2 linked regions of the Sus scrofa genome follow. The protein of the gene in region 1 purifies or fractionates together with the protein of each later gene. This does not show direct contact. Links are inferred from orthologs where the notes say so. Each region holds a gene or a part of one and is shown on either strand. Other genes may lie near its edges. The genes, in order: MAEA and RMND5A.

The links.
Region 2: the proteins of MAEA (region 1) and RMND5A purify together in Homo sapiens (affinity purification with mass spectrometry; 5 studies listed by BioGRID and IntAct, counting the BioPlex papers as one, with this or other methods). This does not show direct contact. The link is inferred for Sus scrofa from reciprocal best matches to the Homo sapiens genes MAEA and RMND5A.

The regions. Positions count from the first base shown.
Region 1 is NC_010450.4:537,505-552,746, forward strand, and holds the start of MAEA (macrophage erythroblast attacher), read left to right. Parts: upstream 1-5,776; 5' UTR 5,777-5,861; coding exon 5,862-5,930; intron 5,931-9,918; exon of another isoform or gene 9,919-10,339; intron 10,340-15,242.
Region 2 is NC_010445.4:58,035,001-58,049,636, reverse strand, and holds the end of RMND5A (protein RMD5 homolog A), read left to right. Parts: intron 1-828; coding exon 829-994; intron 995-3,333; coding exon 3,334-3,436; intron 3,437-5,182; coding exon 5,183-5,337; intron 5,338-6,872; coding exon 6,873-6,936; 3' UTR 6,937-11,613; downstream 11,614-14,636.

The sequences.
Region 1 (15,242 bases):
TCAGGAAAGCTGAGTCCTCTAGTTTCGTTCTTCTTTTTCAAGACTGTTTTGATGATTTGGGATCCCTTGAGATTCCATACGAATTTTAGGATGGGTTTTTCTATTTCCACAAAAAATGTCATTGGGATTTTATAGGGATTGAGTAGCATCTGTACTTCCTTGTGGGGACTATGGACATTTTCAAAATATTGTCTTCCAACGTATATTTATAATTGATTCACTTTGCGCTACACCTGAAACTAATACGACACTGTAAGTCAACTATGCTCCAATAAAATTTTCAAAACTATTGTCTTTCAGTCCATGAACTTGGAGTGTGTTTTCATTTATTTATGTCTGTAATTTTTCAGTAATATTTTGTAGTTTTCTTTGTACAAGTCAGTCTTTCAGCTCCTTGGTTACTTCCAAAGTATTTTATTCTTTTCAATGCTATTGCAAATATAATCAGTTTTGCCATTTTCTTTCCATATCATACGTTGTTCGTATATAGACATGCCGATAACTTTTGTGTGTTGGCTTTGTATCTGCTCCTTGGCTGGAATCCTATATTAGTTCTAACAGGTGTTTTGTTTTGCCGTGTGTGTGTGTGTGCGTGTGTGAGTGTGAGTGTGAGAGTATGTGTGTGTGTGAGTGTGTGAGTGACCTTTAGGGTTTTCTAATATAAGATCATGTCATCTGCAAACAGAGACAGTTTTACTTCTTCCTTCACAGTGTGGATGCCTTTTATTTCTTCTTGCCTAATCGTTCTGGCCAGAACTCCAGCAAGAGTGGATGCAGGGCCCCTTACCTTGTTCCTGGTCTTAGAGGAAAAGCTTTCATTTTCTCGCCGTTGAGTAGCCTATGCACTGGGAGTGGCTCACACATGGCTTTTATTATGCTGATGTAGATTTTTTTTTCCCCTACTTTTTTTTTTTACTTTTTAAATCATAAAATAATGTTTAATTTTTTTTCTGTATTAATTGAGATGATCCCGTGCTTTTTTCCCCTCACGCTGTTATGTGGTATATGACAGTGATTGTTTTTTCACGTGTTGAACCATCCTTGCATTGTAGGAATAAATCCCACTTGGTCATACTGTGTAATAAGCCTGTGAATATGCTGCTGAATTCCGCCTGCTAGTGTTTTCTGGAGAGTTTTTGCATCAGGGATCACAAAGGATATTGGTCCGTCGTTTTCCTGTAGTGTCTTTGTTTGGCTTTGGTTCAGGGCAATGCTGGCCTCAAAGAATGTGTTAGGAAGTGTTCCCCTATCCTCAATTTTTTGGAAACGTTTGAGAAGGAAAGCTATTCGTTCTCTTTAAGTGTTTGGTAGAATTCATCGGTGACGCCGTCAGGTCCAATGTCTTTGTCGAGAGATATTTATTATTATTACTGACTCGTTCTCCTTACTGGTTGGTCCTATTCAGATTTTCTATTTCCTCACGATCTAGTCCTGGTAGGTTTTGTATTTCCAGGAATTTGTCCATTTCATCTAAATTATCTAATTAGTTAGTGTACAGTTAGTTGTTCACAGCCCTCTCTTATAATCCTTTTCATTACTGTAGAATTAGTTTTAATATTTCCACTTTTGTTTCTGATGTTAGTAATTTGATTTGTCTCTTTTTTTCTTTGTCCACCTGCCTTCGATCAAATAAAACAAGCCTGCCTAAACCAAATAACCAAATTTTGGTTTTACCTATTTTCTCTATTGTTTTCCTATTCCCTGTTTCATTTATTTCTGCTCTAATCTTTTTTTTTCCTCCCCTCTGCTAGCTTTGGTCTATCTTGTTCTTCTTTCTCTACTTCCTTAAGTTGTAAAGTTAGGTTGTGTACTTGAGATCTTTCTTATTTTTTAATGTAAGTGTTGATGGCTATACATTTCCCCTGAATATCTCTTTCAGTGAGTCACTGGTTCTGGTAAGTTGCGTTCTCTTTTTTCTTCCTTTCTAATTGTTGTCTAATTTCCCTTTTGCTTTCTTCTGTGGTCCATTGGTTCTTGAATGTCCACAAACTCATGAATGTTCCAATGTTCCTTGTGTTTCGATTTCTAACATCATCCTGCTGCGGTTGGAGGGATTTCTTTTTCATGGTGTCTAGCTTTTTACATCCATTGAGACTTACTTTGTGGCGTCGCGTATGGTCGATCCTGGGAAATGTCGTAAGTGCACTTGGGAAGAACGTGCGTGCTGTTGGTGGTGGCGTGTTCTGTGCGTGTCTGTTAGACCGAACTGAGTTACTCTGTTTCCTTACTAACCTCCTGTCTGGCAGTTCTAGCTATTGTTGCGAGTGGGGTATTGAAGTTCCAGCCATTGTTAAAGAACTGCCCGTTTCTTCCTTTAATTCTATCAGTTTTTGCCTCATATATTTTGATGTTCCGTGTTAGGTGTGTAAAAGTTTGTATTGTCGGAGTTCCCGTCGTGGCGCAGTGGTTAACGAATCCGACTAGGAACCATGAGGTTGCGGGTTCGGTCCCTGCCCTTGCTCAGTGGGTTAACGATCCGGCATTGCCTGAGCTGTGGTGTAGGTTGCAGACACAGCTCGGATCCTGCGTTGCTGTGGCTCTGGCGTAGGCTGGTGGCTACAGCTCCGATTCAACCCCTAGCCTGGGAACCTCCATATGCCGCGGGAGCGGCCCAAGAAATAGCAACAACAACAACAACAACAAAAAGACAAAAGACAAAAAAAAAAAAGTTTGTATTTGTCACTAGTTCTTGCTGTATGGAAACTTTTATTAATACGTAATGTTCTTTTTTGGTTTAAAACCCATTTTCTTCCAATGTTCATATAGCCACCTCTTCTCTCATTTGACCATTATTTGCATGGAATATATTTTTCCATCCCTTCGGTTTCAATGTATTTGAGTTTTGGATTAAAAGTGGGTCTTGGAGTTCCCGTCATGGCTCAGTGGTTAACGAACCCGACCAGTGTCCATGAGAACTCGGGTTTGGTCCCTGACCTTGCTCAGTGGGTTAAGGATCCAGCATTGCCATGAGCTGTGGACCTGGCTTGGATCCCGGGTGGCTGTGACTGTGGCGTAGGCCAGTGCCTGCAGCTCTGACTCGACCCCTAGCCTAGGAACCTTCATATGCCTCGGGTGCGGCCCTAAAAAGACACAAGATAAAGTCAGCTCTTGCAGTATGGTTGGATCATGTGTTTTTATCCATTCTGCCAGTCTTTTTGTTTTGATTAGGAAATTTAATCCATTTACATGTAATTACTGTTAGGGTGGGACTCACATCTGTCATTGTTATATTTGTTTTCATTTCATTTCTTTCCTTTTTTTTTTTTTTTTAAATGGCCACATCTTCAAATCCCCGCTGGGAACTGAATCTGAGCTGCAGCTGCAACCACACCGCAGCTGTGTCGTTGCCAGATCCTTTAACCCACTGTGCTCTGCCAGGGATTGAACCTCTGCAGCAACCTGAGCTGCTGCAGTCACATTGTTAACACATTGGGCCATCCCAGGAACTCCAAACCTACTCTTTAGAGTAGCATCCTCTGAAGATCCAAATGCTAACCCCTAATGTTTCTAAGTTAACTGGAGCAAACCACTAGAGGAGATCCTGACTCTTGATCGGTGATACCTTCAAGGAAAGATCCTGATCAAAAGCGGAAAATGTGGAATGAATTAAGGAACTGTCAGTTAGGGCTGCAGTCAGGACAAGTCTGTAGGGGGCGCGCTGACACCCAACGCACATGTCAGTCACCCCAAACAGGAAGGGGCCTCTGCCACGTCTTTCACAGGAGGACACCTCTACCTACCGTCCAAGAGGAAGGAGAAAACTTCCCTTCCCCCCATCCGGAAACTCGGCCAATCAGAGGCTGCAGCAGCCCAACCAATCGGCAGCTTCCGGTCTTTGCTCGTCCCCCCAACCCCCACCAGCTCCTCCAACAGACCCCGTCGGTTATCCCGGCCCCGCTCAAAGACCCACTTTCCCTGTAACAGCAAGTTCCCACGCCTCGTTCTCTGGATTTGCTTGTGGTCTGCTGTTGTTGGTGTGTTCCAAGTCACAGCTCCCCTTCTTTCAGATGAATTCGCTTTTGGTGGTGGCGCAACTGGCTGTTACCGTATCACAATTGGCCAAAATTGGGTTAGCATGAAGCTGAACGTGCTGATTGCCTTGACGCACTCAGCTTTCACTCGTGTGGATATGATCTCTAGGAGGAACTTGTTTTGTTTAGCACGGGAAGCTTCTCATCCTTGCGTGATTGTTAGCACTAGGATTTTGCTAGAACGCTGCAGGGCATGGGGGCAAGGGCTGGTGGAGGTGGGGGTCCTAGGGTTCCCACTGCGACAGTGGCTTTCCTGTGTAGCCTTAGGGTTGTTGCTGTTTTTTAATGCTAAACTTAATCATTTAAAAAAATACCATTTCAGAAATGAGTGTGAAGTGTGGCATAATTTGAAAATCTTGGAGTTCCCGTTGTGGAGCAGTGGTTAGAGAATCCGACTAGGAACCAAGAGGTTGCGGGTTTGATCCCTGGCCTCGCTCGTGGGTTAAAGACCTGGCGTTGCCCTGAGCTGTGGTGTAGGTTGCAGACGCAGCTCGGATCCTGCGTTGCTGTGGCTCTGGCGTAGGCTGGCGGCTATAGCTCCAATTAGACCCCCTAGTCTGGGAATCTCCATTTGCCGTGGGAGCGGTCCTAGAAAAGGCAAAAAGACAGAAAGAAAAAAATCTTCTCCTAACTAGTGAAACCTAATTTCCTTTCTATTTTAAAGAGGAATAAAAGGGAATAAGAATGTCAAGTGGCAGCAAAAAGCCTACAGAATGATTTATTACTGGGGTGTTTAGAGATGATGCAGTAGATGGTTTTCTGCAAAAGCTTTTTCCAAAAACGTTTCACTCCCTACTCAGACGTGCTTCATTCCCAAATGCATATTTAGATTAGGTTCTTGTAGTGCTGATCTGCTGCTTTTTTAAAAAAATAAAATTCGAGGAGTTCCCTTCGTGGCTCAGCGGTTAACGAACCTGACTAGGATCCATGAAGATGCAGGTTCCACCCCGCCTTGCTCAGTGGGTTAAGGATCCAGCGTTGCTGTGGCTGGGGTGTAGGCCGGGAGCTGTAGCTCCGATTCGACCCCTAGCCTGGGAACCTCCATATGCCGCGAGTGCGGCTCTAAAATAGAAAAATAAAATAAAATTTGACTGAAGATGTTAAAAAACAAAACAAAACAATGCGAAGTGGTTGAAAACTAGAATCGCCGTGGATACCAGGGCCGCGGGCCAGGTGCGGGGAGAGCACAGGCCCTTGTTCCACTAGGGAGACGCTTTCCTAATCCGATTAAGCGCTCCACCTCTCCCCTCCAACGGGACCTGCGGCTCCGCGCCAGGCTCCAGCCGGACCTCTGCGCAAGGCGGCCAATGGAGCAGTGCTGACAGGCACCCTCGCCTTGCAGACCTTCTGGCACGACTCCCATGCACGGTCACAGCCTTGAGAGGTCATGGCTAGGAGGGCTCACCGCCTCCGGGGGGGCCGCCCCACGCGAGCCCAGACACCTCCACAGCCGCGCTCCTCGCCGGACCCCGGACCCCCACTTCTGAGGGTGCTCGGTGCGTAGACGGCGCTGGGACGCCGAGTCAAAGGGCCGGGGGAGAGCCATCCGGCCGAGACCTTCCCGCCCCGCCTGGAGTTCAAGAAGGGAACCCGCCCCGCCGGGCTTCCCGCCGATTGGCTGAACGAGAGAAAGGCCGGCGGTGATTGGGTGGGGAGGACGCCTCTCGGCTTGCACGCCGCGGCCCCGCCTTCTCCCTCTGCCACTCGACAGGGGGCGGACGCGATTGGTGCAGACGCGTCGGCCCGCCCCACCCCGCCCCGCGACGTCGCTACCCGGCGTGCCGCGCGCTTGGCTTCCCCTCCGCCCGCTAATGTTTTGGCCGATTCAAGATGGCGGTGCAGGAGTCCGCGGCTCAGCTCTCTATGACCCTGAAGGTGCAGGAGTACCCGACCCTCAAGGTGGGGTTTGCGGCCGAGGGGCGCCCGCACCTGGCGGGGGCCGCGGGCCGTGTGTGTGGGGGGGCGGGGGGCGGTGAGCTCGAGGGGAGAAGGGGACAGGGCGCGGCCTGGGGCGCCGGGCGGGGGCCGTGGTCTGAGGGGCCGGGCTCCTTGGGTCCGGGGCCCGGGAGCCTGCGGCCGGCGGGTGTGGCGTGTGGCCGTCCGTGCCCCTGTCTGCCCGCAGGGGCTTTGTGACAGTGCGGGGGGCGCGTCTGCCTGGCGCCCCGCTTCGCCTTCCAGAATGCGACTGTGGCCCCTTCTCCCCATCACGACGGCGAACACATCGGTGACAATTCTGGCCTTAGGCTGCCTGGTGACTTTGGAGGCTGGGGTCTCAGGGGCGTGGGGTCGCAGGCGCCCATCCAGGGTGCCCAACGCGACTGGCCGTTGGTGTCCAGCCGTCCTCCCGGAAGCTTATGTCAGAAGGTGTTGATGTATAGCTTCCAGACACGAATTAGGGGACCTGTAAGGAGAGACTTCACGACCCAATGGGAGCCCGTATACGGGGCGTCACCAAACCTGAAATACAGCCCTTGCCACTCGGTTGCCATATACGTGACCTTGGATGGTCACTTAGGCGAGTCCCTGACACTGGGATGAAATTGGTGTTCGAGGGCGGAGGCCAGTACTGGCTCCTTCCCTGGTTAGCAGAGGAATTCATGGTCATTGAATCCCAAGAAGCACCTGGGAATGATTCCAGACAAGATCGAGGTTGTAGCGTTCTCAGGGGACCTGTGGCTGAGCAGGGTGACTCAGTTCCTTTCCGGGGAGGGGGTGGCAGGTAGCTTCTCTCCTCCCCTGGGACCTCGGCATGCCCGTCCACCTCAGTGGTAGCAGGTGGGTGGGTGGTGGTTTCATACTCAGCTCCGCAAGACCCTGTCGCCCAGACCAGGATTCTCTGCTGCCTCAGGCGCCCAACTAGACGTCCTTGAGTGTCACTTGAGTTCCAGAGTTCCTCAGTAGTCTTCGATTAAAGTCGCCATGTAGACTCAGAGATAAAGAAATATTACAGTGTCATTGCAGGCGAGCCTGTCGGGTTAGAGTTCTACTTCTTTTTGAGAATGATTTTTAAAGCAGGATTTTTTGCAAGATAGCTTCATTTTCCCTCACAAATGATTAGAGCCTGTGTGATAACTTCTCTGTTCTCTCGACATGCATGTCACTGTCACTGCTGAGTTAACATTTTTTTCAGGAGCAATTCTCAGTGGATCGTGAGGAAGTTTCACTAGGGAACCAGGGAGCCTTGATTTAGAAGCATTTGTTAAAGCGGAATTAATTAAGCACAGAAGAGCTGTCGGCTGCGGAGCTGCGCTGGTCACAGCCTTGAGCCGGGTCCAGAGGCAGGCGTGGTAGGAGGGGCGTGCCGGGCAGAGGCCGGAGGAGAAGGGGCCGAGGGCCAGGTTCTGGAAGGTGTGGGTCGTGCTTCTCTGGGGCACAGGCCGCTCTCCCACGTGGCTGGGAAGGAGCGTGAACTGAGTTCCTGGCGAGCGAGCGCTCCTCAGAAGGCTGGGAGGCTCAGGCTGGCTCCCCACAGCCTGCACGAGCACTTCCCCCTTGTCTCCTGGGGAAGGGCGAAAGCGGAGCACGCTGACCCTCTCCCCGCCGAGCACCCGCCCCTGTGGTGGCCGGACTGGCTCAGGCCTCTCCTCCTGCGGACTTGAGGCAACAGCGGGATGTTCGGCAGCACCCCTGGCCTCGCCCCGCCCTCAGGGTGCTGGGCAGGCCGCCAGGATGCTCCTGCACAGCCAGCTGCCCTGGTGGAGGGGGAGCCGGCGGAGGGGGTGGCCCCGCAGAACCTCTGGTCAGGACCCTGCCATAGGGGGCTTGTTTTTTCTGCAGTGCGCCTGGTGCTCTGGCCTGGCTGCGGGTCTGCCCTGGAGTGCTGTCTGGTTCGGGTTGTAGGCCTCGTGGGAGGGGAAGGGGAAAGTTGGGTGCCTAACCCACCATTGTGAACTGGAGGCCCTGTTTTTTTTTTTTTTTTTTTTGACTTTTTTGCCATTTCTAGGGCTGCTTCTGTGGCATATGGAAGTTCCCAGGCTAGGGGTCTAATCGGAGCTGTAGCCCCCGGCCTACACCAGAGCCACAGCAACACGGGATCCAAGCCACATCTGCGACCACAGCTCACGGCAACGCCGGATCCTTAACCCACTGAGCGAGGCCAGGGATCAAACCCGCAAACTCATGGTTCCTAGTCGGATTCGTTAACCACTGAGCCACGACAGGAACTCCTGGAGGCCCTGTTTTAATTGCATTTTTTAAAGTTTTTCTCGTTGTAGAAGCAGTTGTGTTTATCTCCAAATTATTTTGCTGATCTTCCCATTAGTATCTTGGAGTTTTTACTTCTGTCTTTTCCTTCAGGTAGCAGCAGGAAAATAATATTTTAGAGCCCCTTTTTATCAGCACCTAAGCGGGGAGCCGTCTGCTCGGCGGGGAAGCAGGGCCCAGCATTGCTCCCTGGGACCTGCTCTGGACACCTGGAGCCTCATCTCGGCACCCCAGCCGGGGGTCCCCCACACCCGTGCCCCCGCTCCTGGGGCGGGCGGGGGAGTGTGCGGCTGCCCTGTCTGGGTCAGGAGGTGGGGTCTCCTGGTGCCTGGAGTTCTCTAGAGGAATGTTGACATCTTCTGCTTTTATGTGGTGGCATCTTGTTGCCCACATCCCGCTCGGCCGATTCAAATGATTCAAATCCCGGCTCTGTCCTCCTAGAAGCTTTGGGTGCCGGTGACACGCCCCCTTCCGCGTAGTTTCCAAACTCGGTTTTGGCTGGGCTCGGGATCGCGTGTTGGCGGCTTCGAGAACGCCAGGAAGCACGAAGCCGCCGGGCTTTGGAGGCGAGGATCAGGGTGTGCTGGGTCTGAGCGTTTCCTTCGGTTTCTGGCTTTCCCTCCGTCGGCCGCGGTCCTCTCTGCTCTGCAGACACGGGCCCCAGCCCCGGCCCCGCTCTCTGCCCGGTCAGCCGCCGGCTCCTGCGACCAGCCAGCCCTCAGGTGACAGCCCCCTCGGCCACCTGTTCCGTGTCTTGCCTCATGTCTGCCCACGATCGTCCTGCCATCTCTTCTTCGTCCATGCGGCCTGCGGGGGCTCCGGTCCTCCCGCCCGTCCCCCCATCCGCCAGCGGTGGGAGCGGGGAGGGTTGGGGGCCAGCTCCCTTTGCAGGGCCTCCCGGAAGGGCGGGCTGGCTTTTGTGCTTCAGCTCCGAGGCCCGAGCCAGGGGTGGCTGTGCTGGCTGCCAGGGGACCGTAAAGAGACAGCCTGGTGAGGGCCCCTTGCCGCGAGGGCCCTGAGCAGCATCAGGCTGAGTGGTCCCTTGGTGTTTTCTTTCCGGCCTTGGTCACAGTCTGACGCTGCTTCTGTTGGATGCCCCTTGGAATGCTCGTTCCTCGGCCAGGCCTGCCTTGGGGTTGCCTCCCTCCCGGGGCCCAGAGGGCGCCCATGGGCAGAGCAGGCCTCTCTTCTGTCTGGTGGGAAGCTCCTGAAGCATTGGCGTCGCACTTCTGCCTCCAGTTGCATCCTGGGCGTGGCGGCCTCCAGCACATGGAAGCTGGACTTGTCGTCTTGCCGGTCGCCTCCACAAACCCGCTCTCTGCCTTCCTGGCCTCAGTGGGGGACCGCTCTTCCATCCCAGGGGCTCAGGCTGGAACCTCGCAGCCAGCCTTGGGCCCTCTGCTTGCCCATCTGCCTCCAGAACGTGTTCAGAGCCCTACTGTCTCCCTGTGCCTCCCGCCCCGCCGTGGCCTGAGGCTGCCTGCCACTGGTCCCTGCCCTGCCCACGTCCAGGACAGCCACCGGTCGCCAGGCAGTGCCATCCTCTGTCCTAGCAGCCTCGTCCCTACCTGGGGGGAAGCCCAGGGTTGTTAGAGTGGCCTCTCAGGCCCATCGGCACTTGGCACGTCCCCCCCCCCGCCCCCAGGCACTTCACCACAGTGGCCTTCCTGCTGCTGCGGGAGGTGCCGGCACCGGACCCAGGATCTTTGCTCTGGTGTCTTTGTTCAGCATGCTTCGCCCACATGTCTGTCGGGCTTAGCCCCCCGCCCCACCTCTGCTCAGGTGTCACCTGCTTGGTGGGGTGGCCTTTGTTCACCTGGGGCCCCGGGCACCCTGTCCCCTCCTGCGGTCTTTCTCCTTGGCCGCTGTGCCGTCTCACCTGCTCCCTTTGCCGCTTTGTTTCTCACCACTGGGATTACACGCTGTGTGGAGGGAAGAGGAGAAATGACTCTTCAACGAACGAACGAACCTTGCCCTGTTATGTTGGCAATTCTGTCCAGAGAAGTAAGAATTGAAGCAGCAGGAAATGTGACGCTGAGAATGACGGCGACAAATGTTCATGTCCCGGAAACACGACCTGACTGCAGGAGGACGCAGTGGCCGAGGTCAGCACGGGCGCATCCCCGGTTTCGGCATCCCGGCGGCAGCGGGCAGCGCGCCTCCCGGGACCGGCGCGGGCGGAGGTGCGCCTGTGCCCTGGTCGCGCCGTGGGGCTGGCAGCTGAGTGCGGCTGGAGGTGTGGCGCGCGTCTGCCGTGCCAGTGACAGCTGGAGAGACACCCTCGGGCCTCCCTGCGCCCCGTCAGGCCTGGCGGGGCTCCCGGGAGGGCAGGACCAGGAGGCTGACGGCCGGCCCGCCGCTGAGTCCGGTGGGCGCTGCCGCCTCTGGCGTGTATCGTGTCTAAGAGGCCAGAGAGTCCATCACCCCCGTGTAACTATACGCTGGGCACCGGTGCCCGCCTGTGCTCGCCAGCCGTCCCGGGGCGGGAGGACGCGGTCCCGGCTCCCGTCAGGCTGGCGGCAGTGGCTGAGGCATCTGCCCGCACTGCCCTTTCTCAAGAGGACCTGTGGCCGGAAAGATTCCTGCGACGGCTGTAGATGAGAGGCCCCCGTCCCCCAGAGGACGCCTCCAGCTTTGTCCGCGCTGGGTGGAGGGAAGGGTCCAGCTCCTCAGTCCCCCGGAGGCGGACCCGGCCTGGTCGTTGTTTACGAAGCCTGTTTAGGAGTTCCCGTCGTGGCGCAGTGGTTAACGAATCCGACTAGGAACCATGAGGTTGCGGGTTCGGTCCCTGCCCTTGCCCAGTGGGTTAACGATCTGGCGTTGCCCTGAGCTGTGGTGTAGGTTGCAGACGCGGCTCGGATCCCACGTGGCTGTGGCTCTGGCGGAGGCCGGTGGCTACAGCTCCCATTCAACCCCTAGCCTGGGAACCTCCATATGCCGCGGGAGCGGCCCAAAGAAATAGCAAAAAGACAAAAAAAAAAAAAAAGCCTGTTTAAAAGAGGGGATTCGAAGCACTCCTGTCCTTGGTGCCCCAACCGCAGGTGCAGACTGTGCCTGGCGTTCACCCGGGGTAGCGTGGGGCCGCCGAGACCCGACCACGCGTGCTTCGAAACACGAGGCAGCTCCCCAGATGGGGTCGGATGTCTGCTGCCGCTCAGGGCTCGGCCCGACCCTTGAGGAGGTGCTGTTAGCTTCGCGGTAAACACTCAGAAACCTCCTTCGCGCTTTCTTAATTGTGAAAGATGAAAGGCCTTGTGCCTTTGGGGAAATCCTTCCTTCCCGTGCTGGTCAAAACGGCTGAGAACATGACGGTGACAAATGAGATTGCCTGCTTTGCCAGCAGACACTGGGAAAGTCCACAGCAGACATTGGAGGGGTTGGGGGGACACAGCCTAAGGCAGGTGACACAGTGGGGGAGGAGAGCGCAGGTGTCAAGACAGGTCTCAGCAAGGCGTGTCTGCCGTCTTCTCTTTCTGCTGTGAAAACTGGAAGGGTTGCTTTCCTGAGTCACTAAAGGGAAAGAGGTACTGGAGGAAATATAATTAGTATCAGCCAATTAAGTGGAGAAATCCTCCGATCTTAAAAGCTGTAGTGCCACAAATTAGTAGGGAAAAACTGAGTAGATTTTGATTAATACAAATAGAAATCTTTGGTGTAACCAGATAAAATAAAACTAGATTTTAGAAGCAAGTAACAAGTCTTTTTTTTTTTTTTTTGCTGTTTCTTTGGGCCGCTCCCGCGGCATATGGAGGTTCCCAGGCTAGGGGTCGAATCGGAGCTGTAGCCACCAGCCTACGCCAGAGCCACAGCAACGCGGGATCCGAGCCGCGTCTGCAACCTACACCACAGCTCAGGGCAATGCCGGATCGTTAACCCACTGAGCAAGGGCAGGGACCGAACCCGCAACCTCATGGTTCCTAGTCGGATTCGTTAACCACTGCGCCACGACGGGAACTCCGCAAGTAACAAGTCTTAAGAAAACATCTACCAAGGAGTTCCCTGGTGGCATAGCAGGCTAAGGATCTGGCACTGTCACTGCTGTGGCTTGGGTTCAGTCCCTGGCCCTGGCATGTTGTGGGCATGGCCAAAAAAAAATTATCAAATAGGGACCATACAGAGCTAGTTCAAACTGATGTGAAAGCGCCAGGACGTTTTGGGTTGAGTGTGGGGCAAAGGACTACAGACAGAATATATGAAAGGAAGAGCGTTGAGGTGAGGCGTAAAATCGCTCATTTGTTAAACGATGGCTGAATAGCCCATCCCACGTAGGGATGGCTTCCCCGGTGAAGTCTATGAAATGTTGAAAGAGGAGGTGGCACTGGCCCTTCGTGAACGACCCGCACATGGGGGAGGAAGAGACGTTTCCCACCTCGTCCTCTGCGGTCCGGTTCACCCTGACGGCAAAGCCAGACAGGCGATGCCGCAAGGAAACGACAGGCTGTAGGTGGGGGATCCGCAACAGCGTGTCAGCAGACCGAATCTGACAGCGCAGGAAAGGACTGTGCACCACGACGGAGTGGGGTCTGCCCCAGGAGCGCAGGGCTGGCTCCACACTGAAGATGGGCGTACGGCCGTACTGGCAGCATAAAGGACCAACGCCACGAGGTCGTCTCAGGAGTCACAGACAGAGGCACCTGACAGGACCCGTCACCCTTTGGTGACGGAAACACGCCGCAGGCTGGGAACAGAGGAAACTTCCTCGGCCTGCTGGAGAGCACCTCTGAGGCGGCCACAGCCAGCATCCTGCTTCGAGGCCGGGCGCCACAGCCTTGCCCTGAGGTCGGCAGAAAGGCAAGGAGGGCTGTCCCCGCTTCCGTTCGTCGGTGCCACAGATTCTCATCGGGGCAGTCAGGAGTCAGGCAAGAAAAAGAAATGACATTCAGATTCGAAAGGAAGAAGCAGGACTCCGTTTGCAGGTGAAATGATCTGTCTGCGGAAAATGCTAAGGATGGACGGCTGACGCCCGCAAGACCCCCGCCCCCGCCGGCGCCAGCGAACCCGATCCAGCGAGGCTGCAGGACGCACAGCCAGTATGTACTGAGATGACTGGTGTTTCCCGCCGTAGAGATGAATGGCGAGGACGGCAGTGGAGAAGAGTCTTCACAGTGACACCGTGGTGATTCAGACTTTAGGGAGGAGAAGAGGCTTGTGCTTCCGAGGATGCTGTTGGGAAAGTGAAAAGATTGCTAATGGGACAGAAAATACTTGCAAATCATTCCTGGGAAGGATCTAGTGTCCAGAATACACGAAGAACTCAAAATTCAGCAACGTAAAGACGCGCAACCCAGTTTACCAACGAGCAAGTGATCTGAATGACTCCTTCGCGGAAGAGTCGCAGGTGGCCAGGAAGCGCAGAAGCAGCTCGCCGTCCTCTGTCATTAGGCAGGTAGCGAAACCCCAGGGAGGCACCACCACGGAGAGACTGTGCAGAGGGTGGGCAGCAGCAGGCCTTGGGTAAGGGTGTGGGGAAGCCCAGACCCTGGCACACGCTGAGGGAGGCCAAGTGCAAACAGCCCACTCATGCTCCCAGAAGGGGACAGGGAGCTACCGGAGGAGCCCGTAGCTGTTCCCCTAGGTTCTTACCCAAGAGAGATGGAGACAGGTCCACACGGAACTGGATGGGGATCTTTAGAGCCTTACTCTTCAGCATCAGCCCCAGAGTCCATCACCTCGTGAACACACGTAGCACTCCCATAATGGACCACCGTCCCGCCGTGAAAAGGCACAGGGTTCATGCCACCTCGTAGGTGAAGCTTGGGCAAATGACACTGAGTAAAAAGAGCCAGTCACCAAAGGCCACGTTGTGTATGACTCTGTTTCTACAACATGTCCAGACTAAGGGAGTGCCAGTGGCTGGCGTGGGCAGGTCTTCTGCAGGCAGGGGTTCCTGCTTGGTTGATGAGAATGTGCTGGAAGAAGCTGCTGCTGGTGATAGTTGCACAACCTGGTGAGTGTCCTCAGAGACGCCAAGCTGCGGATGTTCATTCGAAGGGTGAGTTTGATGGTGTCTGAGTTACGTCGGAAATAGAAACTGTAAAATAAGAGATGTGGCTTTTGCTTTAGACAGTTCTTAAGTGATCTTTATTCTTTAAAATTGTCTTCAATCTTTTTGTTGTTGTCTTTTTATGGCCACACCCATATATGGAAGTTCCCAGGCTAGGGGTCGAATCGGAGCTGTAGCTGTCGGTCTGCAACACAGCGCACAGCAACGCCGGATCCTTAACCCACCGAGCGAGGCCAGGGATTGAACCCACATCCTCATGGTTGCTAATCGCGTTCGTTAACTGCTGAGCCACAGCAGGAACTCCTGTCTTTGTTCTTAAATTGTCTTCGGAGGAGCGAAGACAGTTGGTTTTGCGGGGATTGATTTGATGTCTTTCAGTCCGTTCTGTGACCCGCGGGAAGAGTGGGCCTGTTTCCAGACGGTGAAGATGGCCTCCTGTATCTCCATCTGGAAGTTCTGTGGTTTCAGCTTTTGTGTTTCGGTCTGTGGTCCATGTCGAAGCAGTTTGTGTAGATCATGTGAGGTGGGGGTGGAGGCTCGGCCTTGCCCCGGGGAGGACCCGGCCCCTCTGTGCGGGCCCCGTCCTTCCTGCCCTGCCATGGACAGCGCGTGGGCTCCCCTCCGGGGTGCCCCACCATCTCGACCTCTCCCTGCCTTCCTCAACCCGTGCCTTGAGGCCGGGCAGCATCGCCTGCGTTATCCAGATCGTTCAGCATCTTTTCTTACTGTGGTGCATCCGGACTCATCGTAGTCGGGGCGTCTAAGTGTCCAGCCGTAAGCGGAGCTCTCTGGAACTCTCAGCTCGGGCCACCCGGCCGGAGCACCGCAGACAGGGGCTTATCCTCAGCGGACGCTCTGCCCCCCAGCACTGCTTCCTCTTTGCTGCTGGGAGCCGCCCGAGCTGTGCATGGATCCGTGGAGCTGCGCGCCTGTCTGCACGCTTGGGAGCCGCGTCTCTCGTCTGAGAAATGCCAGCTCCAGTCCTCTGCCCGCATGTCCCTCGG
Region 2 (14,636 bases), on another chromosome or scaffold:
GACAGTAATTTAACCCCAAGTGTCAGGGTGGGAGCACCGGCTGGTTTAACAGCCAAAGATATGTGATGGCCCCGTTTATGACATAATTGTTACTCCTATAGATAAAGGTAATTATACTGTGCTGTGTGTATAAAAATAAAATAATTACAGGTTCAGTATTTAGTGCTTTCCTTTTCTTCTTCTTTTTCTCTCTGCTATTTCTTTAATAGAAACCAAGCTCAAGGACCAGAATTTTTTCTTTATGGCCGCACCCATGGCATATGGAAATTTCCTGGGCCAGGGGTTGAATCTGAGCTGCAGCTATGCAGGATCTTTTAACCCACTGCGCTGGGCCAGGGATCAAACCCACACCTTTGCGCTGACCTGAGCCACTGCCGTTAGATTCTTAACCCACTGTGCCACAGCAAGAACCCCTCCAGAATTTTTTTTTTTTTTTTTTTTTTTTGCCATTTCTAGGGCCGCTCCCGTGGCATATGGAGATTCCTAGGCTAGGGGTCAAATTGGAGCTGTAGCTGCCAGCCTACGCCAGAGCAACTCGGGATCTGAGCCGCATCTGCAACCTATACCACAGCTCACAGCAGCGTTGGATCCTTAACCCACTGAGCGAGGCCAGGGGTCGAACCCGCAACCTCATGGTTCCTAGTTGGATTCGTTAACCACGGAAGGAACTCCAAGAACCGCCCCCCCCCCCGAATTTCCAAAGGTGTTACTGAGAAGTAATTTTAGGCCATGTCAACTGGGGGAATTCTTGCCTTTTTCAGTGTATTACTCGAAGGTTGTATTTTAGGTGAACATTCACACCCCCAAATTGCTGCTGCTTTTGTTTAGACATTCAGGTTTTGATGGGAAGCCTCGTGTACCTGAGACAAGGGATTGAGAACTCACCGTATGTTCACCTGCTTGATGCAAACCAGTGGGCTGACATCTGTGACATCTTCACACGGGATGCCTGTGCCCTTCTGGGGCTCTCTGTGGAGTCCCCACTCAGCGTCAGGTATGGAGCTTGGCCCTGTCCGTTGTTGAAATATGCACCGCACTGGTCAGTTCTGCTTAATTTGTTGTCTAGTTCTTGATGTTTAAAGCTGGTAGAACATTTGTCTTTCCGAGGAAGAGTATAGTTGGTATTTCAAGAGATCGTCACAGTTGGTATTACAGAGCTTTAGAGCAGCAGCTATCAGTGTGGTCTCTGATCCTTCGAGGGTCTCTGAGAGCCTTTTCCTCTGTGCTCACGCTGTGGGTTAAACTGCTTCAGCCTCAGCAGATGGGGGCAGTGGTCCCAACCCCCACAGGAGCTTGCTGTATTCCTCACCCCCACACACTTGCAGATGTTTTAGTTTTACTCTGCCTTTGAATACACATCTTTTGAATACTCTGCCCAAATTGGAAGTTCAGATGAAGCCCTTAAGCTTCACGCCATTTCCTGAGGCAGCATGGCCACTGTCTTAAGAAAAGCGTCTGTATGATGTTTGAGTTATGAGCTAAAAAAATAGTTGCTTTTTTCCCTGGAACATAGGTTTCACTTGAAAAACCACTAAAAGACAGACTCTAGTTATTCACATTCAGGTTTTTGTCAGATGAGTAAAGTAATAAGCCTGTCACGTTGGGAAAGCAACTGGTGGTATCTTTTGCCATAGTAATACATTCAAGATTTTAAGCTAAAATAGACTTTGGGAAAATGTGGGCCCCCTACCTCTGTGAGCTGGGCAGCTTCCCAGTGCTTTAGAACATTTCTGATGAGATTGATGGTGGTAATAAGGAAATTGGATTTTATATTATGTAATGAAATGTGCTACCACTTGGGAAATCATTGTGATCTTAGAAGATCACGCATGGGTAAAAGGCTCATTCAGAGAACAAGACTGTTGGGTTTTAGTGGAGCAGGGTACAAAAATCCAATGGCAAGACTCAGATTCCACTTTGCACGTAACCTTTGAAAAACTGCTTCTTGTTGAGTTTTGGTGAGGCATTAAAGAACAATATCCACAGTTATCTGGAAAGGCGATTAAAACACTGCATATGTGTGTGAGGCTAGATTTTTGTCACTTACACGTCAGCCAAAAGATGACATTGCAGGGGGTTGAATGCAGAGGAAGGTGTAAGAATCCACCTGACTTCTGTTAAGGGAGACATTAGAAAGATTTGTGAAAATGTAAAACATTGCCACTCGTCTAATTTTGGTTTGGAAAAGAGACTTGTTTTTTGTGAGAATGTTATTTATGATAACATGATTTGATGATTTTTAAGTGCATTAATATTTTAAGGATTTCTCTGTTTTAATTTCTAGTACAATAAATAATGATAGATATAACCCACAAAAACAGATGCTCTTTGAGATCCTTATATTTAAGCCTTTAAAGAGGTCCTGAAATCAAAAAGTTTAAGAACCTATTTTAAGGAGTTCCCGTTGTAGCTCATTGGTTAACGAACCTGACTGGGATCCATGAGGATGTGGGTTCCATCCCGTCCACACTCAGTGGGTTAAGGATCCGGCCTTGCCATGAGCTGTGGTGTAGGTCGCAGACACAGCTCGGATCTGGCGTTGCTGTGGCTCTGGCATAGGCCAGCAGTAGTCATTGTGATTAGACTCCTAGTCTAGGAACTTCCATGTGCTTCAGTGCAGCCCTACAAGCAAAAAAACAAAACAAAAAAACCCCATTTTAAGAAGTAACTTTTCCAGTGTTCGTTTAATTCCTCAAGTGTTTTGAATCTCTGCTGCACCTTAGGCATTATGAAGGACAGAGAGGTGAATAAGGTGCAGCCCATCTGCACATGGAGACAGACAGGTGCCCTTAACTCTAACGAGCGCCAGGATTGCAGGTCAGGCAGAGGGACAGGTTGGACTATGATGAGTCATCGAAGGCCTTGGGCCACCCCAGGGAGCTCTGCAGCTGTGGTGGCCTCTGGAGTTGTGTCCTCGTGTGGAGCATTCATCGAACGTGACCCCAGTCAGGTCTCTGTCTTCAACTGAGGACAGTCCTACAGGGAGAGTTGACAGCCAGCACTTGCAGAGCTGAGCAGTGTGTGCTTCTGCTCTGGACAGAGGTGATCTGGGTGTGGAAAGAACTGGGCAAGAAAATGTGTCAGAGTAGCATGAATGTCAGGAAGGCCACTAATGACTGGTAAACAGAGCTTATTCAGTCTAGTGGTTTTGTAAACATGCATGTGTGCACATGGATGTGCTCTCGTTTAGCAAAACAGGGGGCTTTGTGATGCTCTGAGTCCAGCGACCAGGGCCCTCTACACGCAGCACGGAATCTGGAAGAATTGTCTTGTCCTGGGACCAACTTCCTGACGCCTGGCCTGGCATTAACATTTCCTCTCCTGTCCTCCCAGTTTCTCTGCAGGTTGTGTGGCGCTGCCAGCTTTAATTAATATCAAAGCTGTGATTGAACAGAGGCAGTGCACTGGAGTTTGGAACCAGAAAGATGAACTACCCGTGAGTTCCATTTCTATTGGTTATTACCTCTCCTGTCATTAGAAGAAAATAGATGTTAAGGATTTAAAATGTCTGTCTTGCCTTTTCCTCAGGGAGCATTATTGTAACCATACGGCAGGGATTCTTTTATGTCCATGTAGACATGATTAAACATGGAAGTGGGCAGCTAGGACATTCTGGAGGTACTGGAGTTTTCTTACCTTTCAGACTTAGAGTGGCAGGCATCAGAGGAAAGGAAACCTCGGAAGAGGAGAGTATTAGAAGAGAGGAGGGTGGTGTATACTGGAGCACGTGGTATATTCCACGGCACAATTGGTAAATCACACTTGTAACATTAATTTTTTAAAATCTAAAAGTGATGAGTCAACTTGATTGGATTTAGTTTGTCTTAGACATTGATATTTATGAGCTCATTGGTTTGTGCCAGTTTTATGTTTCTAATACCAATTAAAATAAGTATATAGCTGTCAAAGATCACCCCAGTGACACCTGCGGTCATCAGTGACCCCCAGTGCTGCGCATCCACTGTTGTAGAGGAACGGGCCATGGTTTTAAATATCTGCTCCAGTCACTTGCTAGCTCTAACTTGTCAAAGCAGTAGTTTGTCCATCTCTAAAATGGGGACCATCCTTCTGTTTATGGGGCTGTTAAATGCTAGAGATGATAGAGGTTTGCTTAGAATAATAATATGGGCCGTGTAGTAGGTCATCAAGTAGTAGTCATGACATGGAATAACAGAGGTCAGAGGTCATCATGTGTGTGTTTGCACTGGGCCTCTGACAGTTTAATGGGAATTACTGTTCTTGTTACAACTGTGTCTCCGACCCTGAAGGGCTAATTCGCGTTTGGCTTTTTGCTTTTTTCTACCACCCTGTGCGCAGCTTTGTCTGTAGTTACCTTGCCAGCTGGTAACTGTCGCGTTGCCCCAGCTTCTCAGAGATCTGTTATGATTAAAGGCGCAGGTGTGTTCCCAGTCCTGAGAGAGATCAGGACACAGGCAGTGCCCTGCGTGGCTGCTGCTCATGCAAGCGATGAACAGCACTCATAGAAAAGAGTCTGGGTGACAGTCTTTCATATTAATAGCCATCTTAGATTTAGAAGGAAAAATAATGAACTGACATCATGGAGCCTCTGTAACGTGCTAACCCTCTTTGCTAAGATGATTTCACAGCTTTTGTTTTGTTCACTGCAAAGAGAGGTGATAAAAGTGCGGTGGGCTCAGATGGATGGATTGTGACTTGTCCTGCTGAACTTTAGTTGAAAGCCCTTGTTTCAGGTGATTTCTCTGGACAGTTCCACAGAAAACATGGGAGACCCAGATCTGAGGCCCACAGAGCAGTAAACGATGTTTTGTCTGCCTTTAAAGGAATTATCACACTGAATTGCATCACCTTGCTAAGTGTGTCCTAAAAACAGTCGGGATATCTGGCGGATTTACTCTCCCACACATCCTGAGTTTTCTAGTGTGTGATTTCTAGGGCACTGCCTTGCTTTTGACTCTTGCTCTAAGACATCAGAATTTGGTTGTTATGGAGTGTTATTTCAGATAATTGTGAGGGTTAGTTTAGAATTATGAGCTACTACTTTGAATCCCTGAGACCATCCATCTAGTTTAGAAGAGTTTAAAAGTTACCTTCAGATAAGTAGGCTTAATGAATGTTCTTTGCTACAGAATGCATTATTAACCTGCAGATGGTTTTCTGAAATATAACTTGAGCTTTTTAACTCTTTTGAAAAAAATAACAGATTGAAGTGGACCTTGGTAAAAAGTGCTGGTATCACTCGATATTTGCCTGTCCTATTCTTCGTCAGCAAACAACAGATAACAATCCACCCATGAAATTGGTCTGTGGTCATATTATATCAAGAGATGCCCTGAATAAAATGTTTAATGGTAGCAAGTAAGTGTCTGACTTTTTAAATATGAGTTTAAAAGAATACTCTTTGGAACTTAGAAGATAAGTAATAAGGATAAATAAATGCAGCTAGAATTCAAAAATATATTTAACTATTCATTTAGCATAGTGGGCGGTACATCTTTTGTCAGTCTTAAATTTGTTCATGGATTTATTGATTAGATTTATAAGCATGGTCTTTAACTCTTAACTTTTTGGGTGAATGGTATATTGTCATCCCAGCCCCTCCCCTGCCACTTACACAGATGGTAACGTACTATATATACTCTTCTGAACTTTGCATTTGTCACTTAGTGACATATCTTTTTTTTTTTTTTGGTTTTTGTTTGTAACTTTGTGATACATCTTGAAGGTCCTCTTTGTGATATAGAAAGAGCCCCTGTTCTTTTTTAAAGCTGCAGAGTATTCTGCCATATGAAATACAATTTACATAGCCAGTTCCCTGATGATGAACATTTAATTTTTGTTAATGTAAAGTGAATTACCTTACCAATATGTGATTTATAAATTTGTAGAATTAGAATGACTACTTCATAGCGTATATACATTTATGATTTTTATACGTAAGGAACCCAACTTTTACAAAACAGTTTTAAAACCTTATTTGTAGGAGTTCTGTCACGGCTCTGCAGTATCGGACCTGACTAGCATTCAAGAGAATGGGGGTTCGATCCCTAGCCTCGCTCAGTGGGTTAAGGATCTGACGTTGCCCTGAGCTGTGGTGTAGGTCGACGATGCGGCTCAGATTGCACATTGCTGTGGCCGTGGCTGTGGTGTAGGCCAGCAGCTGCAGCTCTAATTTGACCCCTAGCCTGGGGAACTTCCATATGCTGTAGGTGTGGCTCTAAAAAAAGAGCTTTAACTCCCCCCGCCATTTCTACCTTAGACAGCGAGACAGTTTTACATTGGAGTTCATTTCACATCCCTTATGGTGAAGTCTTTATTTTGAGAGGAGGAACTGGCATGTACTAAAGCACCCAGGGGGTGCAGGGGGTGGGGTGCCTAGGCTCCAGGCTTGATCTTGGTTCAGACCATGCTGGTTCTGTGCGCCACTCCAGGGCATCGTGTGCCACGATGGGGCACAAAGGCTGCATGCCCTGTCGGCTTAGCAGCTGGTGTCACATTTACTGCATGGGTGTGGCTTGTGACACCGATGCATCTGAAAGTCTTTTCGAGATAGGTGCAAGCTAAGCCTTGGACAAGAAAAATTGGATTGAGTTTTGAAACCCCCAAAGCAATTTTCAGAACAGTTGTCTTTGTTTTGTTCACAAAATAATTTTCACTCATCCACTGAAAAAGAGCCTTTCAGTTTAGAGTTTTGCTTGGACAGTGTGTATTTGTGACCATTCAAACTTGGCTGTTACATTAAGGGAAAGCACACTTTTTACGCTTGAAGGAAAAAACAGACGTGTGTGTGTGTGTGTGTGTGTAATTGTTAAAGGTTTGCTATACCTAGATGAAAATTGAATGCTCGGTACTGATCCTGTTCCTTGATTCGATGTTTTCTTTCTTGTCTTTAGATTAAAATGTCCATATTGCCCAATGGAACAAAGTCCAGGAGATGCCAAACAGATATTTTTCTGAAGAAATAACTCTAGTTTGCAATTTGTAAGTGAAACTGAATCGAGGGCGCATTTCAGAAGAGAACGTTCCATTTAATGCAGCTAACCAAGGACTCCCATGTTTATATAAGCTAATGCTCCAGAAACTTTGCCAACATTTTAGTGTGTACACACGGAGGGGAGTGTGCTCCAGATAAATATTATCATAGGGCTTTATTATATTCTTGGTCTTCATTTCTGATCAAGTAAATACACCAGCAGTTGTCATTCAATGCAGGTTTTTGTACTTAATTATATGGTGATTTTTTTACTTTTTAAGAGCAGAAACAGAAATTGACCTCCCCGCCATGTGTTTAATATTTCTCCTGCTTTTACTTTTTGTCATTTTCTTGGTAACTGTAAGCCTTGAGGATGTTTGTGAAAGGTTTTATTTCCTGTTACGTATACATAATTAAATGAAAATTCTTCAGAAAAAAAGTTTGAAAAACTGAATTGTGGTTCTGAAACGAATTTGCCAGGTTTTTTTTTTTTTTGTTTTTGCGTTTGTTTTTTTGTTTGTTTGTTTGTTTTTGGCTTATGAAAGAAAGCTGTGATAGATTCTACATTTGCTTTCTGATGTTTTCCTTTGCTCCAGCTCTCGCCGAGAAGTCAGCAGACCTGCATCTGTGCTCTGCCTGTAGCCCCAGTGGGCTGCCCGTTAAAAAATTCCATCACAAATTTATTAGCAGGTCGGCGTGAGAAGGCTTCCACTAGAACAGAGTGGAAGCAGTACCGTTGTTTCTTTGCTTTTCTTGCCAAGAGGTGCTCGTTTTAAAAGTGTGTTCAATAAAACAAATTCCGAAGTTAGAATGTTCTTCAGTGGCTGTTTGCTCTCTTGGTCTTGGTGACCCCTCTTCTCTGAAATCTGCCTTCAGGACTTGGCTGTCTCCTGCATTTGTATATCACTACAGACACAGTGTTGTGTGTGCGCGTGTGTATATGTGCACCAGCATCAAACATTGTGTATCTGGAAGGGAAGAAGCATGTTCCAGTCCTAAGACGCAGTTTCCAGACTCATCGCTTTCAGTCCTTGAAGATAGAAGCTAGCGGATTTTCTGTAGTGCAGAATATGTTTATGCCCTTTTTGTATTTGAATAATATACTGTTCAATGCCTCTTTTCTGCAAAGTGTATCATCTCATTGACTGTGAATCTGTATATTACTCTAATGGATACAGATAATGGTCTTTTCTCTTGTGAGGTACCTTCATGTAATGCACTGTCCAAAAACAGCCATGTGTACGAGTCTTTCTCTGTATCACGAACTGCATGGAAAAAGACTCCTGTGGACATAATTCTGACTTAAACCCATGAAGTTACTTCAGTTTGAGAAGCCTGTCTTATGGAAATCACCAAATACTTTACTACTCGATTTCATCTGACATGGAACTGAATATCAAATCCAGGAACCTTCCATGAGAAAATGAAAAGAGAAGAGTACACTGAAGCAAAGAGAAATGGGACACTTGGCATTTCAAACTGCGGACTGACTTGGTTTGCCGGGCAGGGAGATAACAGACTTGGTGCTAAGTCATTTGGAAACCATCTGCTCTGATGGACAGGCCTGGATGGTGTAGCCCGAGATATTGACCTGGGAGAGCGGGCGTCTTTTGGTGAAGGAGGGGGGACTGTTTGGTGGCAGTGTGTGATCAGGCCTCTGCTGAGGTTCCCGTGTGCCATGGGGCTTAGCTAGGGGGTGATGGGCCCGGCTCAGAGTGCTCGCTCTGCCCCATCTCTGGCTTGGCTGCCCAGTGACTTCTGCCCCGTGATTCCCCTTTCCTGGTGGAATCCTCTCCCCACTAATTCAGTGAAGAAAAGCAGAGAAGCTCCTTGGACTCCAGAAGGAGAAGGTAGAAAATTCCAGGCAGCGCTCTGGTTGAGGATGTAAGACCGGTTTATTATATATTTTTTCCTTTGTATTAAAACCCAGAGTGTGATCTCCCCCCCACACACACACACCTTTTTTCTTTTTTTTTTTCATTAGGCCAGATTTAGTTTTAATCACAGCTTGTTCTTACCTTTCCACCTCAAACACCTACACAACATTTAGGCTTTGTGTAAGGTTCGAACAGTATAGACATTGCTCTAGACTGGTGGTAAATGTTTTTGGTGGCCAGACACTTCACATAGCTGGCTCAGGCCACCTTCAAGGACAGAAGCCTGAGAGAGCTCTGCTCTGTCCCTCTCCCGGTGTTGGGAATCCTGTTGACGGTTTTCTGTGCAGTTCATGAAACCTCAGAAAGAACATACTTTACCTGAAGCATTTGACTTTACAGCTTCCTGTGCCAGGTCTCTGTGGTCTCACTGGGCAAGGGTAGGGGTAGGGCCACCAATTTGAAACTCTACTGATGTGACAGTTAAACAGGCACATGTTATCTTGCGACCTTCTTTAAATGCATGGTGAATGTGAAGGAGACAGGTGGCTTTGAAGAGACCAGACCTTAACCAAAGATGCTGAAATTCAGCATGCTGTCCTTTCTACCCTAGAAATACCTTTGCCGGTGTTGGTAGGACCGCATCAGTGCTGAGGCTGCAGGTCTGCAGTGTGGAAGGAGGCGTTGTGCCACGCTCTGCCCTCTTGCAAAAGCTTGTGAGAGAGCAAAGATGTATACAGTCGTAACTGTATGTTGAAAACAGAATTTCAGAGTGGTTCCTTAAATTTCCAGTTAGGAAACCATGTCCACTTACCAGCTGTGGACAAAGGCCAAGGGACTGCGCTAAACCCATGAAACCGTATCAGATCCTTAGATTCTGACTTTTAGAGCATCTGTGCTTCCCAGTACAGTCTGAAGCACGGTGGCTAAGTTGTCTTTCAATCTTTCTTCTCCTTTCTGTGATTGTCACAGATGATGCCATTTCTGTTGTTTTAGTGGTGATTATTTGACATTTCTAATCCATAAATGAACGGGTATTGGTGCCTCTTAATTTTTAAAATTTTGAAGAAAAGAGCCACCTCATCTTCATAGGGTGTGTATTTTGTGAGTGTATGAGCATTTAATTGAAACTAAGAAAGTTATGAAGTCAATCTTTTGATTTTTTTTTTTTTTTCTGAAGCAGCTGATGTGTACAGAGACACTAAAACTCACACCACTTTATGTGGGGAACGAGGATCCTTTTTTCTCTCCAGGTAGTCCCGCGGGGTGTGCAGTTTAAGTTCAGTGTGTCTTATGCCGTGAGTTATTTCCGCCTCGGAGGCTTTAGCCTCTGGGACAGTAAATACTGCAGAAACCAAGAACTCTTGGTTTATCTGCACGAGACAAGCTGCTGGTAGACGTTAGCCCTCTGGTTTTCCAGCTCAACCTCTGATGAAGTAGATTGACCATCAGGCTGGTCAGTCTGCTTAGTCAGTGACTCAGGTTCTTTTCAGGGAAGGCCTGGAGGCATGTTTGGTTCATTTCATCGCCAGGACGTGTAAGGTGAAAACACAAACCAAATACCTTTCATTACTTAACTCTACGTACATGACCTTCGGTAACACTAGAAGGCTGTGGTCTTGAGGGGATGTGAGCACACTTGCGTGATACACGGAAGGGATGGTGCTTCATAAGCCTGTCCAGCTGTGGCAGGTTTGGTTTAGCACGGTGGTGTGTACCTTGGGAAAGTACAAGCTTCATGAACTGTTCTTATTAAACTATAATTGAATAGATACCAAAAATAGAATGACAGATGTATTTTAATAGCAGATGAGGCAGATTAGTTTTAGGGTGAGTTTTTCCCACTGTTGATTTTACGTCATGACACAGGGAGAGAAACAAGTTCATTTTCAAAACATTTTCCTCTGCAGTTTTAAACTGTAGTGAGTATCTGCTTCATTGACTTCCAAAGAGGCAGAAGCAGCTGGCATTGGCTTCGAGCACATGCTTTGTTTCATATTATGATTGATGACCTACATTCTTATTTTAACAGTCACTTACTATTCTCCAGCAAGGCAGATGGGGGGTTCACTAGGACGTAGTGCCTGATCTTTGGGGAAGGGGTGGGAGTGAATGTACTGGGGATGGGAGGGAAGCAGGAGAAGATAATGGCAGCGTGAGTGAGTGTGCATGGGTCTGAAATTCACCTTTAACCCCCACCTGTGTCTAGCAAGGAACAGGTCTTTAATGTATTTTGCTCAAGACTGCAGTGTGCATGTATTTTTTTTCCCCATCCATGTTTTCTAAACTTAAAAGAATTCATCAAATCATCTTGTTCAGATGGCTCAGGATTGTATTTCTTTTGCTTACCCTGTGCTCTTGGGTTCTATAGTATTTCTATAATTATGTAACAATAGTGTTGCACTGTAATCTATCATATAGAGCTATATGTATGGAAAATTTTGATCAGTTTTTTAAGAAATGTACCCTGTTTGCAAAGGCACAATAAAAGTTGCATCTTATAGACTATAGGCAATAAAGCTAACAATAAACCTTATTTAACACAAACCATATTCACATTCTCTGTTCATTTGATCTTGAGAAAAATCTAGCATATCCAGTAGTTTCAGGGATTTCATTTTAACTTAAAAGGTTCTGATGTATTTAATTTATAAATTTCAGACTGATATAATAGAGTTTTGGAAAACTATAAGAAATGCTTTGTTAATGTGTGTATTCCTATGTAAAACACATGGCTTCTCCTGTGTATATTTTTAAAAAATTAAAGAAATGCACATTTGAAAAGTGTTTTGTGAACCCGTCTGTATAAATGTGACAGGTGCCAGAGGTATGAGGGGAGGGAATGTGGAGGTAAGAGAACGTGGCTGTCTGCATTTGCCAAGGGTCTGCATGTAAAGAAGGTAAGAAAACATCTGTCACCATCTCATCCTGTTTCTGTGTCACCAGTAGGATGAGAAGCAGAGGTAGGTGGGCACCATCCCCAGATTCTAAGGGGGGGAGTTGGGTTAATGTTTACCGGTTCCTGCCCCTTATGCTCACCCTGAGGATGGCGGGGACTCTCTGACGAAGTGAGTAGTGTGTGACTGGGAGGGGGGGCCCCCGAGACAGCTCTGCCCAGGCTGCTGGTGCAGTGGGGTGTGTATACTCAGCCCTGCCAAGGAGGAACGGGGGATGGGTTGTCTTATTCCACACAAGCTAAGGTGGTAGAGACCAAGGATCCGTTTGTGCTGTTTTGGTATATTTTCAGAGAGATTCACTCTTACCGGAGGTTTTAGAATGTTTCCTACCCATGGGTCCTCACTGTGGGTCCCACCAGCCACATCTGGAGCCATTCGTCCAGGGGGTGTAGACGAGGCCTGGCATCACTGCTTATCCTTGCAGCATCTGGGATTCTCTCCAGAATCACAGCGTGGTCTCTAGCCAGCATCAGCATCACCTGAGAGCTTGTGAGAAATGCAGACTCTCAGGCCTCTGAAGCAACACCTACGTGCTCCTGAGAAAACTGGCTTCCCTCCCAAGGAGCCTCTTGGATGCTCCCTTATTTTATGAAGTACCTTCCCTCTTAAATGTGGCAGATAAGGATTTCTCGGGTACTGAACGGAATTTACCCCCAATGACTAAGTCCTGAGTCATCAAGAAAAGTTAAATTTAGTGTGCTTTGAACTCTGTTGGTGTACATTTTTTTTTTAATCGGTGTATTTCTTTAGGCATCCAGGTAATTGAGGTTTGTTACATTTGCAGAGTGGCAAGATGCATTTTCCACCCAAAATGGGAAAAGATAGAAAACACCAAAGAAGTAAAATAATGGAATTCTGTAATAGCAAAATAAAGACTGAAAATGCACCTTCAAATAAACCGCTTGATGCCCCTTGCCCCCTAGTAGAGACTTGATGGTAAACAACATCCCAACAAATAGAAACAGCGCTTCGCAGATGGCATGCTTTCCTTTTTTTCCCTGGTAACCAGTAAGAATATTACCCTTTATGCACATAAAGTATCTAATTCTGAAACAAGTTTTACAAAACCAATGCCTATGTGTTGTACTCTGATCCTGATACTTTCGATTATTTGGTTAATGCTCATCAAGACAGTTGGTTTTATGACTTGCTGATGAGTTGAGATGCACAGTTTAAAAACAGCTTGCATTGGAATTCCTATTGTGGCTCAGCAGTAACCAGCTGATTAGTATCCGCAAGGATTCGGGTTCTGTCCCTGGCCTCACTCAGTGGATTAAAGGATCTGGTGTTGCCCTGAGCTGCAGTGTAGTTCGCAGATGTGGCTCGGATTTGGCGTTGCTGAGGCTGTGGCTGTGGTGTAGGCCAGCAGCTGTAGCTCCGATCCAGCCCCTAGCCTGGGAATTCCATATGCCAAGGGTGCAGCCCTAAAAAGCAAAAAACAAAACAAAAACTGTTTGCATTAAGGGACAGTGATAGAATAATCCATTCACAAAGCTATATTGGAATTTCTGTCAATATACACACATGATAGAAAGGGTTTTTTTCTTTTTCCAAAAAACTTCTTGCCCCGAAGTGTTACACTCCTGTGCATCGTCTAGCAAATATAATAAAGCATAGGCTCCTGGGTGTGAGGGAATTTTGCCTGTGCAAAAAAGTGCAAAGTGCTTCATGCTAGTTAATAATTTAAGCATATGTGTGCATGATAAAAGCAAAAGGCATTTAACGTAGCAGGATATGCCCCCTTCAACCATTCATGGAATTTTTAAGTGCCAGGCACTGGGAAGGAGCAGGGTCCTGGCCTCCTGGACCTTATAGACTGTTGGTGGATACAGAAAAGTAAAAAAGTACCAAAATTATAGTGAGGTTAATGCTCACCCGTGACCTAATTACTGGGGAGCGATGGGAGGGGAGGGGAAGGGAGAGATGCAAATGAATTGTGTTTTAAGACCACTCTGGCCACAATGGGATAAAAAGTGGTTGGGAGAGGGGACAGGCCAGTAGAGTAGGTAACTGAGGACTTTTAGTTTTTATTGAGCCCTGAGTCCCAGGGGTAGAGTGGTGAACAAGAGAGACTTTACACTTGGTGATCCCGTTGTGGCACAGCAGAAACGAATCCGCCTAATCACCATGAGGTTGCGGGTTCAATCCCTGGCATCGCTCGGTGGGTTAAGGATCTGGCATTGCCATGAGCTGTGGTGTAGGTTGCAGACATGGCTTGGATCCCGCTTTGCTGTGGCTGTGGCATAGGCTGGCGGCTGTAGCTCCAATTCAACCCCTAGCCTGGGAACGTCCATATGCCACGGGTGTGGCCATAAAAAGCCAAAAAAAAAAAAAAAAAAAAAATCTACTCTCAGGGTGCTCTGAGGCAGGAATGTAATGAAAATACAGCAAGGTGAAGTTTTTTAGGCCACACACAGTACTCTTACAGAGACCCGCTGAGGTGTTCTTGTCTCTCAAGCGATGGTGCTCCTTGCTCTGGTTCTGAAAGGAGTTCCCACGTCTTTCCATTGTCTCCTTTTTCTAGGTGAGCTTCTGACCTCCTGCTCTCCGCAGTTGGTCTCCTACACCATGTGGGTTGTGTGATATTCTGCCAATTTCCTGTCAGCGTTGGTCTTTTTACTCCATTTGAAGACTGCATTCAGCCACTGATCAAGGGCTGCCTTCAAACAAGGGACTTTGGTGTCATTTCCCCTCTAAAGCGAAAATGTACCTTAAAAGGAAACACCTTGTTTGTTGGCGTTCATGACTGTTTTGGGAGCTTTCCCCTTCTGAACATATTAGAGGTGCATTTTAGGTTTCCTTTCATTCTTAACACAAGACTGTGTTGCTTTTAGCTGTTTTACTTTTCATCTT